Pelodiscus sinensis: one gene and its partners. The protein of the gene in region 1 purifies or fractionates together with the protein of each later gene. This does not show direct contact. Links are inferred from orthologs where the notes say so. Each region holds a gene or a part of one and is shown in the gene's direction. Other genes may lie near its edges.

Region 1 (3,748 bases):
TGGTGTTTTAAAAGTTTGATATCTCCCTGTTTTGCTATTTACCTGGGAGTTTTTTGTGATGTAGCGGCTTTTCTCTCCCCCACTTTCCACATCCTAGTGTGCAGGAGCATGATACACAATCATACTATGAGGATTTGCCAAACTAAATCTCATTGAACTATTAAACATGCTGCTTCAGGCAATGGAGAGTACATGATGGTTTACAGCAGCGGTTCTCAAACTTTTTGAGCTCCGGAGACCTTTACATGAATAAAAATGTATGTGGAGCCCCAGCGATCCACTGATTGTCTGTGTTGTACCTATTGATGTTTCTAGTTTGTCAGCCTCATGGAGCCCCTGGAGATGTCTCCTCCGTAGACCACAGTTTGAGAAACACTGGTTTACAGGAAGGTGGAGAAAAACCGCACACTGATAATCACCAAGACAGTTGGGCAATACTTTGAATAGGATGAAATCCTTCCTGGCCTCTGTGGTGATCACCAGATGCACTGAAAAATTAGATTTCATTACCCTATCTTAGCATAGGTGCGAAATAAATTACAGTTTGAATATTATACTTAATAAAAGCTAATTATAACCCACTTTGGAGGGATAAGATTTTGGATGCTGAAGGCTGATCTTATACTGTTTTTTTTCCCTCTCTGACAACCTCAAAAATAATCACAAAAATTGTTCAAAAACTAAAGACAAGATTAAAAATGGACTTTCTATAAGCCTAGTAGAAGACAAACATTAACAGCAAACAAATGCAGCATCTTAATATTTTAGGCTTATTGAAAACAGAGTAAGTGGCCAAAACATCAGTGTGTTTGTGTAGCAAATCTTTTGTCTGCTGCTAAGGCTCATTCTGTGGATTGTTTTCTCAAAAGCAGGCACAGGTAAGCAAATGTTATCATTATGTAAGAGGGTACTGATCTAGCGGGACCCTGAGGGTGCCAACAAACACAGACTGGCTTTTTCAAACTGCTCAGCAACAGCTGAGACACTTTAAATGTTATTCTGCACCTTTTCAATGAAAAGGGAATGGTTTCCAAGTATTTTCTTTGTGTTGATGTTTGTGGTAAAGAGAGAGAGAGAAAGTCATTTGGTAACAGTGCATCGCTCAATCACTAAACCTAAATCGACCTGTATTTAACTTACATGTAAATAAAACAAGATTGTCTTATTTATTTCTCTGTTATATTTTAGTCATTTAAATCACAAGCACTGGTGTCTCTCATTCTTTTCATAATTTTAATCATTACAGGTTTGTTCTCTTCAGTGTAGGATAAAACCGTCATAAAAGTGTCATGAAGAACTTTTCTTCTATAGATCACAGATGTGACTGGTGACCCATCAGATTGGCCACTGTTCTGTGCTGTTTGCTTGTAGTTAATTAATTAGTTAGTTTATTTTGTTCTCCAGTGTTCTTAATATCACACTGCAGAATCTACTGGAAATTGTACATAGGTTGCAGGAGGAGAGATGGAAGAAAGGAGAAGTATTTTAATACATTTGTGTATAGCTGATGACACACAGAATTGCTACATAAATCACACAGATCTAGGGACTTAGAGCTAGACATTTTATGAGCTCCAGAAACACAGTTCTCTAACAGCTGAGTTAAAATACATTTCCTTTAGCTGCTGGTAAAAGTACAGTTGTCTTATTCTTTCCATGATCATTCAATCTCTCCTCTCTCTCTCTCTCTCTCTCTCTCTCTCAGAGAGAGTACTAGTATCTTACAAAGGGAAGGGGAAAAATGAAATTACTTTGTTCACAGCTCTGCATTTTCAGGGCTGAAATGTCCTGTCTAGTAATTGGGAAGTAGCATCTTTGCAAATGCCTGTTGGTCTAGTCAGGGTGAGTGTGTGAATTAGTCCAGAGGTCATAACGTCCTAGGAAAGTTTTATATCAAGTTCAGTGAAAGGAGTTTAGAAGAAATATACAATTTGTAAAGCTGAAGGCAACTTTAGTATCAAGACTTAGTGCTTGATCTAAGAAGCTGCCTAAGTAATAAATGGCTAGCAACAAATCTATTTCCCCAAATACCAGTGATTAGAACTGCATGTAAAATACTTACATCTCTACATATATTTTAGATTTGTGTGTCTGCCTGTCTGTGAGCTTGTCTGTGTGTGTGTGTCTGTCTGTTCAAGAACTCCTTCTAAATCAGTGTTTCTTAAACCTTTTAAGACCAAGGACCAAACAATTTTTTTTATGAGGAACACCAAGGATTTTTTGTTGAGGAAAAAAAAAGGTGATCTGCCCCTTTAAGGATGGCTATTTTAAATTCTGTTCTCTGCAGGACACCTCCGACTGCCTCGCAGCACACCGGTGTGCCACGGAACACAGTTTAAGAAACCCTGTTCTAAACAGTAAGAGCTAGGAGCACCAAATTTGGAGCGCAGCTTCCTCTTATCCTAACTTAAAGCACAGTCAGGGTTTACTTATGCCAAGAAAATGGGAAGTGCTGGGAATGGAAAGGGAGGGGCACCGAGGACGGACATGATACTCAGAATGGCCACTGGGGGCAGTGAGCCTGCAGGGGAGAGCAATGCTGCAAAGAGACCACTTGGGAGGCAGATGCACCACCAAGAGAGTGGCCAGAAGGGCTGGGGCTCCACCGCCTTGCTTGTGACCAGATCAGGTAAGTAGTCTCCCTGCCCCGAATCCTTCTCCTCTCCCCCAGCCCTTGCCCACAGCATGTGGCCGAGGGAGGTCCGTGATGGCTGGGAGGAGCAGGGGGGTGGGGTGGAAAGAAGGCCCTACTGGCTGAGACAGCTGGGGGGATGGAGGGAGGAGAGAGACGAAAAGGCCCTAACAGCTGGGGGAGGGAGAGAAAGCACCACTGGATGGGACCCTCTGCCCTGAACCTCTCTGCATCTCTTACCCCACCATATACATCCCCACCCTCTTGCCTTGCCTGCCCCTACATCTCCAAGGCTCTGCCCTGACTCTTGCACCCCCACAATGCCAGCACCCCTCCCTGAAGAACCCGGGCAATGCTGGGTAAGTCTTTTAGTACTTAATAAGGAACGGATACCCTCTGAGCTGCAGGTCAGCAACATGTCTGAATCGTTTTCTTGTTGGAAACTTTAGTAAGTATTTAATTATATGATAGCCTCACCAGTAAGGATTTCAGGATCTTCCCCTTGCTAACAGCTGCCTGCATTACTATGTATGACCAACATTTCTATGGTCTAAATTTTAAAGGGTACGCCCAGTTGTCCTGACCTACTTTTATCCATGAGTTGACTGTGGCAAGAAGCCAGCTGATTTATTTTCAGAGCTCACACCCTTTGCCTGAGCCCTGCTCAGTTAGCAAATATTTGATATATGTACTGCATTTCTTTCTTATGGGATTTTATGTGATGAAAGATTGTGCAATCCCTTTTCAGGACTTGTCACAGCATGTACATATCTTATGTTGCTTGTTGATTTTTTCCCACTGCTGCCATGTTCACTATGGATTTGCTTTAAAACAGAACAATATAATTAATCTCCTGCCATATTCTGACACCCAACATGATATTAATGCTGGCTCAATCAAACTCATAGGCCTAATAATAGAACTTTTCAAACTCTAAGAGAATCTATGAGGATTGATTTCAGCCACCATTTTGGCTTCTCCCCTCCTGAGCAAGGTATGCCTGGAGCCACATTGCAACAAGTTTAATTTGTCTGATTCAAAGCACTTCTCTGCCTAGAAGTAAAAAAAACAAAAAACCAAAAAAAAAAACCCCCAAAATGTATTAAACATCAGAGC
Region 2 (3,748 bases), on another chromosome or scaffold:
TGTAGACGCGCTGTTCTGGAAGAGTTCTTGCACAAGATCATGCCAGTGTAGACGTAGCCCAAGTGTCTGGGTTAATACACATTTGGGAGAGTCAGTGAGAATCTCACATCACAGTGCAAGGGGACACCGGGTTACAGAGCAGACAGCACCCCCACTACGCCACAAGAGGCAATGGGTGTTTTTGCACTGTAAGTCCTGGCTATTTGATCTGAGGAAGTGGGTCTGGCCCACGAAAGCTCATCATCTAATAAACCATCTTGTTCGTCTTTAAAGTGCTACATCGTCCTGCATTTTTCTTCAGCTACACCAGACTAACACGGCTACATTTCTATTACTATCCTGACTCCACTGTGTGTGGAGAGAAGTTGGGCAGGATAGTGAGTCAGTGGTACCCAGCACAGCTCCCAAAGGTAATACACATCTGTGCTCAATGTTGTGCATAGCCGGATAGCCCTAGCGCTATCTTACGCAGCTGGGGCATATGGCTCGTTGTGAAACTACAACTCCCATGAAACACCAGTGAAAGGAAGCCCCAGGTTAGGCCTACAACTCCCATCGTGCCTCAGGAAAAAAACTACGGAGCGTGACAAAACGTAAAACTACAATTCCCAGCATGCCCAGGAGTAAAACCGCAACTCCCATGATGCCCAGTGTGAGTGAGCCTCCCCCCGCCCCCCCCCGGGGAAGACTACAATTCCCAGCATGCCTCGGCGGAAAGGACTATGACTCCCGGGTCTTCTGGGGAAAGCCAGCTCTCTATAGGGCTCTGCTCTCCTCCCCGCTCGCCTCTGTGGCCGAAACCCGAACGTGACGGACACAGCGCGGAGCGGGTTCGCTTTCCTTGTCCAGCCAACTGCTGTTCGCTTGTGCGCATGCGCCTCACTTTCCTCACCACGACCGCCCGGCTCTCTGCATATGTGGGCTTTACCTCTGCCGAAGCGCTGCGCAGGCGCAGTTTGGGAGCGCATGCGCAGTGTTCCCTGTCCACCCCCTTCCTAACGGTGGTAGTTCCCAGTTGAAGCCGCACGCGCTGAGGCGGTACGTCTCAACCGAGCTTGTGCAGAAGCAGGGGGCGAGGCCTATTGGCGGAATTCCGCCTCGCTATTGGGTGCCGGGCGTTTGGCTCGGGCGGCGATTGGCCGGCCGCGGCGACGGGCGGGGTAGGGTGTCGAGGCGCGGTGAAGCGGCAGTGCTGGTAGGAGCGTGTCTGTCTCCAGAAGGTTCCGCGCCGGCTTCTTAGCTCCCAGACGCCGCCGCCAGGATGATGAGCCAACGCCCCGTGATCGTGCTCAGTGAGTGAGGGGGGGGCAGCGCGCACCTTGCTGGGGGCCCCCTAGTGTAGCTCCCGCCCCTCCCCCATTCGTGGGGGGGGGGGGGGCAGAAAACCTTCCCTCAACCCCCCCCCCGGAAACCTCCTCCCCCGCTCTCTGCACCTCCCCCCACCCCCTAACCCATGGGTCGTGTCGGCTGGGTCTCCTGTAACCCCTCCCCCACTGCGCTATAGGTCCCTGCGCCCCTCCCCTGCTCCACGCCCCTCCCCCACTCTCTTCCTCATTAGTGTCCCCCCCCCCCCCCCCGTGAGATTTTTTTCGTACCCCTGCTGTAGGCTCCACAGCCCCCCTTGGGCTCCCCTCGGCTCCCCCTCCCCCATTTTATCCATCCCCACTAAGGATGCAAGGTTGTTAAATGTTTAACTGGTTAAACGGGGGATGGGTGGGGTTGCTCCAGCACCCAACTATTAACCATTAACATCCCTAATCCCCACCATCCCCCTTGTTTCCTGAGTCATCCTCTCCATATAGCTCTCTACTCCCCCCCCCCCCCCCATCACCTGGTACCGAGAGTCCTCTGGTCCTTCTGCCTTTTTTTTCAGGTTCTTCCCTGATATTGGTGCCGCCCGCTAAGATCCACTCTTCTTGGGTTCTGCTAGAGTTCTTTCCATTTGCATGTCTGTCGTTTCTCCAGTATATTGTGTAAACACCCACATTTCTGCTCCAGCCTTGGGGGTCATCCCCTATAACTTCCACCCATTTAGGTTCCCCTTCTTGTTTTCCAGCCTTTCTCATCTTATGTGCTATTCCTCTATTTTTCTAATTTTTTTCATCTGTGTGGAATAAATTTTGAGTACTAAAGCATGTCCTTATGTGCACCACCAAAAGAAACACATTAAGTTACTGTGCAACAATGTTATAGTAGATTATCCAGAATATTGACTCATTTGAACTTTCAATCTTATTGGTTCTATGTGGGTAAAATTAAGAAAGCAAGTTGGTATAATTTTATTCTGGTGTCTGTACCTCTTGGATACTCTTATTTAAATGGCTGGATTCATTTAGAATTGGCCGTAATTCACGTACACATAAATAGAATTGCATCCTTGATATGTTGTCAGTATTGTTTCCTCAACACTAGATTTCCCATTAAGAGTTCACAAGATCAGATTTCAGTTGTATTCATGCTGTTGCTATTTTTTGTTTTCTGCATGTCATAGGTCAGAATACAAAACGTGAGTCTGGAAGGAAGGTCCAGCTTGGAAACGTCAATGCTGCCAAGGTACTGTTTTATGTTATGAAGTATGTTAGCAAACTAGTAATCAAAAGGTGACAAACACAGAATCATGAACTTGAAACATTTTCAGCAGCTCCCTTGACATCACTATTATTCACTTGGTATTTTTTTACAAATTTCACATGAAGAAATGCTGATCACTCTATTGCTGTACTTAAACAACAGCTGCAATTGAATATAACTTTTTGTTTTAGTGACTACAAAAAAAGAAAAGAAAAATTAAACGTTAATCCAAAACTTTACTTATGTCTGAACCTTGACATCTTGTTTAGCAAGTAGCTTGGAGTAATGTCTTGAGCAGATGATTACGTCCAAATACAGTAAAACCTGTGCTATCCAGCACTTAACTAGCCGGAAAACTTTAGAAACCTCCACATTTCTGAGCCAGGGAACAACTTGTTAAAAGCAAAAAAAAAAAAAAAAAAGAAACTGGTGCTTTAAGCTGGGCCGCTCCTCAGACACTCCCCCTGCCAGACGTGCATGCAGCATGTACCTGGAGGAGGAACGAATGGCTGCTCTGACCGCCTAATACCGGCCGCATCCTGGCAGCCCCACGGCTTGTGGCTGCCTGCCCTCCACCCTCTCCTCCTGGCAGCCCGGCATCACCTGCAGCTCACCCCCGCCAATTCCACTCCCCCCCCTCCAATCAGGCTGCATCCTTCCTCCCCCTTCCCCCCCCTCCCCCCCCCGCCAGTGGCTCGTGGCCCTCCTCTCCCTAGCAGGCCACATCCCGGCCCCCGCACCACCTAATCCCCGGATGTACCGGATAACATAGGTTTTACTGTGTTGTGTCTGATGTCCGAGTAGAAGTGACTGTTATCTTAGCCTTCATGTTATATTGTCATGCCTGGTTAAATCATACTCTTGCTGCATCCAAAGAACTCTAAAATAATTGTCATTTGTGTTAATTACAAGGTCTGCATTTTCTGTGTAGTTAGACGAGATTATTCAAGTCCATTTGGAATTTTGAAGCACTAATGTGTAAATGAAACCCTCAGTGCTGATCCCAGCATATTAAAAGGAGACAGCTTAGAATCAGACTGGGTAGCCTCATATTTAAGAGTGTAAAGCAATAATTGAAACATTAGACTAGGTCTGAATCAGTTAAATTCTTCAGTGTTATTTAAATGAAGATTAAAAGCAGAAACTACACACCTAATTCTTTCAACAGGCACAGTGT
Region 3 (3,748 bases), on another chromosome or scaffold:
TAAGAGAACATCCACAAAACGCTCTTGGTGCAAAAGCACATCACTGCGGATGTGCTCTTGCGGCAGACTTTTGCAAAAGAGTTCTGGGGCAAGACGCCTGCAGTGTAGAAGGATCACTCAATAATTGCCCTGGTCTATTCATTCCCTCTGAAGCATTTAGCAACAGCTACTGCCAGAACAGGAAACTGAGCAGGCTGAGCCATAGTCTGACCCCCCTAAGGCTGTGGGGATGGTCCCTTGGGGTTCTGCCTGCAGGCAGCAGAGGTGTTGCTGTTAAGGGAAAAGCCAAGCATGTGCCATGCACTAGATTTCAAGCTGGGAGCTGAGGGCACATGGTGCCCAGCCATGATGTGCAGGAGGAGCCCATGCAGCAGTAGGGCAGGGTCCTGGGTAAGGGGGGAGGGGCTCCTTTGCCACCACGGGGCAGCAGGGAGGAGAGAGCCCGGGCTGCTCTCGGGCAGGCCCCACTCGTGCTGGCTTTGGAGCCAGTGTGGCCAGGATCCTGGTCACGTCAATAGGCAGAGGCAGGGGGCCCGCCTAGCCCATTGGCAGCTATTTGAACGTTAAACTCCACCTCGCTCTTTTCCTCAGCCAATGACAGCTAAGGGGCGGGTATGGGCTCTATGGTAACCCCTCAACCAGTCGTACGTTGGAGGGGGGTGGGGTGGGGCTGAGCACCATGGTAACCCGTCATCCAATGGAAGGGTGGATGCCGTGTGGGTGGTGCTTTACGGTCAGGAGACTGCCAATGACGACCAAGATTTCGCTGTGGGCGTGGCTACATGGTGGAAGCATCGCCCAATGGCAGGCCGGGTAGGGAGGGGGCAAACGACCGTTTCTTTGTGGGCTTTGACAATAAGATGGCGGGCGGGGAGGAGGCGGGGCTGGCGGGGGTGCTTGGTCCCGCCCCTTCTCTCAGGCGCGGAGCAGTCGGTGAGGCGGGAGCCGGGCGCGGGTCGGGAGGCGCCGAGGAGGTGAGTGGGGTCGGGCCGAAGCGCTCCGCGGTCCCGGGATTAGCTGCCCCCCCCTTCCCCCGGGGATCGTCTCTTAGTCCGCGGCAGCGAAACAGGGGCACCGGTCTGGAAGCGGCTGGGCGGGGAAGAGCCCGCGGTGGGGAGCGGATTCAAAATGGCGGCGGATCCCCCTCCCCGGGGTCCCAGAGCAGAGAGGGGCGACGAGCAGCAGCTGCCGCCGCCGCCCAGGGTCTCCTGGGAGCGGGCTAGGCCGCCTCTCGGGGGGCGCCTCCTGCAGCCTGAGCTCGCTGTTCCCTTTCGCGCCCCCTCCCCGCTTCCCGCCCAGCGCTCGCTGCCCCTCCCGGCGTGCGGCCCTCCCCCAGTGCCCCCTGGCCCGCAACCCCCCACGCGCCCGCCGCCCCCCAGCGCCTGAACCCCGCCGGCCGCAACTCCTCCCGTACGCTCCCCCTCCCCGTCGTCTGCCACCGCCGCCACGTACCGTGTGTGCTCCTGGGAGAGACTCCTGCCAGCCCTAGTCCTGCCTCGGAGGGGAGGGGTCGCTGCCCTGCCCCTGTGGGGGATAGTTGTAATCGGGGGGGCTGACCCCCCCCCCACCTACGCACCTCTGCGCGTTTCCTGCTCCATCACCACGCTGGCACCTTTCCTCTGTCCACTGCATCGTCTCTGTATCTTGTCCCCTTCCTCACTGCCCTGTACTCTCCTGCCCCCGCCCTGTATTGATGGGGGTGACCCCCTGGCGCTGTTGCCACCCTGGTGGTAAGGGCTGCTTCCCCCCCCCCCCCCCCCCAAACCCAGGCTCTGCTCTGCTATTGTATTTCAGAAATGTTGTCTGGTGTGCGCTGCCATTTATAGTTTTGCAAAATAGGTACCTAAAATTCCGTGGCAAGGCTTCTACAGCAAATTTGAAGATCTGTGCCCCATTCAAGTAATTGTAAATTAAATGTGCTCGTCAAACTACTTATTTTTCTATTGAATTCAATCTGTTCTTCCAGCTTTCAGATGCCCATGTGCTGCAATTTTTTGTATTGGCGCCTCTGAATTGTAGTAGCTAAAGGAGATTAACTACCAAATCAAGGGGCTTTTGGCACACAGGAAAACGGAACAGTTTGGGCTTTGGCACTCATGTAGAGTGCTCACGAAAGGATGAAATTGTGCTTCCCCATTTTAGATGAGGTTAATGTTTACTTGAAATTGTTGGGGGCAGGGGACTTCAACTTTCTAGCTTCTAAACAGACAGCAACTTGACCTCTCCTCGTTTGTCACTGTCCAACAGCAGTGGACCAAGTACACTTCTTGAATTGCTCTATTTTGGTGATCAGCAGAGAAACAAGATTTACAATTATGAACCCCGATCTACACTACACAGGGCAACATAAGGCAGTTTATGTCAATCTAACTATTTAAGTGCAGCCTTGGTCCCACCAATACAAATGTACACCACCGCTTTGACCTCCATGAGAGTTGCAAAGCTTATGTCAGTGTAGGGAGGGTGACATGTAGTCTTGTCACTCTCACCCCTAGGTCTTCATTCCAAACTGGGCTGCCACCTAAGCTCCTGCTGGGTTTCTTGCTTCTCTGCCCTGCCCTGCCCTGCCCTCTCCCCCCAGAGTTCTAGCTGCTTGGTCTGTGCAGCAAGCCTGGCTGCACAGACTGCTCCTGGCTTCCTACAGGACGCTTGACTCCTCACCAGGAGCAAAGCAGCCAACTGGACTCTAGGTTCGGATTTCTCTGCCAGAGATGAAGTCCCAGGTAGCTCTCTCCTCACCCCACCCACATCACCAGCTGGGAATTGGGGAGGCAAGAAGTCCAGGGGCAGCTGGGTACCCAGTAGGGGAGCTCTGTGGAGTCTCTTTAGTCAGTGGGAGTGCTCTTGGTGAGGACACTTACCACTGACAGGAGGCTAGTGTGGTCACTCTGGGGGTTGTAGGTTGATTTAAGTTTGTAGTGTAGATATGTCCATACACTTCAGAGTTAACACTCTTTTGCTATGAATGCCTGTTCGTAGCTATGGTTTGTGTGCAGATGCAGGAAAAACAGCAAGATCTTTTTAATTTTTTTTTTTTTTTTTAAAAGCAAGAGGTTAAAAACTCAGGTTTTTTTAATTGCAATTTGTGCCCCCAAACCCTAATTTTATGTCAGTGGGCAAATCTATAGTAGGCTTTGCTACCCTATAACTATGAAAAATAGGACTCTGCTTAATAAGAGGATACAAAGAGAACCTATTGGTTCTCAGGAGCAAAAATAATTGTTCCTGGGAATGACCTAAAATTACATGCAACAGGTCAAGTTTATCATTGCTTTGCATTGGCTAACTATTTTTCCCTGTGAGTATTAGAGATGTTAAGTGGCAGTTAATTAAGTTATTCCCCTGACTACTGGATTGGTCAATTGGGGGGGAGGGGAGTGCTCGCTACTGCCTCTGTGGCTCTGTAGTTTAAATGTAAATTGCTCCCGGGGGGCAGTATGAGCCGGGACCAAGCAGTCCCAACTTGTGCCAGCTCCAGGACCACTGCAGTTCTGCATCTTCAATGTAGTAAGAGCCTGCCGCAGAGCCACAGCAGGATGACATGAACTGGGGTGGCCCTGGGACAGCTGGGGTTCCCCCCAGCACTGGGTCCTACTTCCTTCCCTCCCCTCCCTCTGATACAGAGGCAGCAAAGGTGGGGGAACGTGAGTAGTAGTGACTCAACTACCTGATAAATCTAAATTTATCAGGTAGTCGACTACTCGAGTAGTCGCTTTCATCTTTAGTATGTATTACTGAAGTTGCAGTT

Evidence for each region.
Region 2: the proteins of PPP2R2C (region 1) and CCT3 purify together in Homo sapiens (affinity purification with mass spectrometry; 4 studies listed by BioGRID and IntAct, counting the BioPlex papers as one, with this or other methods). This does not show direct contact. The link is inferred for Pelodiscus sinensis from reciprocal best matches to the Homo sapiens genes PPP2R2C and CCT3.
Region 3: the proteins of PPP2R2C (region 1) and CDCA4 purify together in Homo sapiens (affinity purification with mass spectrometry; 4 studies listed by BioGRID and IntAct, counting the BioPlex papers as one, with this or other methods). This does not show direct contact. The link is inferred for Pelodiscus sinensis from reciprocal best matches to the Homo sapiens genes PPP2R2C and CDCA4.

The regions. Positions count from the first base shown.
Region 1 is NC_134715.1:112,516,196-112,519,943, reverse strand, and holds the start of PPP2R2C (protein phosphatase 2, regulatory subunit B, gamma), read left to right. Parts: upstream 1-1,591; 5' UTR 1,592-2,442; coding exon 2,443-2,629; intron 2,630-3,748. UniProt on the Homo sapiens protein: The B regulatory subunit might modulate substrate selectivity and catalytic activity, and might also direct the localization of the catalytic enzyme to a particular subcellular compartment.
Region 2 is NC_134734.1:16,142,118-16,145,865, forward strand, and holds the start of CCT3 (T-complex protein 1 subunit gamma), read left to right. Parts: upstream 1-1,118; 5' UTR 1,119-1,261; coding exon 1,262-1,292; intron 1,293-2,491; coding exon 2,492-2,553; intron 2,554-3,748. Other genes in the region: TSACC (TSSK6-activating co-chaperone protein), read right to left, coding at 707-968. UniProt on the Homo sapiens protein: Component of the chaperonin-containing T-complex (TRiC), a molecular chaperone complex that assists the folding of actin, tubulin and other proteins upon ATP hydrolysis.
Region 3 is NC_134714.1:17,438,622-17,442,369, forward strand, and holds the start of CDCA4 (cell division cycle-associated protein 4), read left to right. Parts: upstream 1-841; 5' UTR 842-974; intron 975-1,452; exon of another isoform or gene 1,453-1,614; intron 1,615-3,748. UniProt on the Homo sapiens protein: May participate in the regulation of cell proliferation through the E2F/RB pathway. May be involved in molecular regulation of hematopoietic stem cells and progenitor cell lineage commitment and differentiation.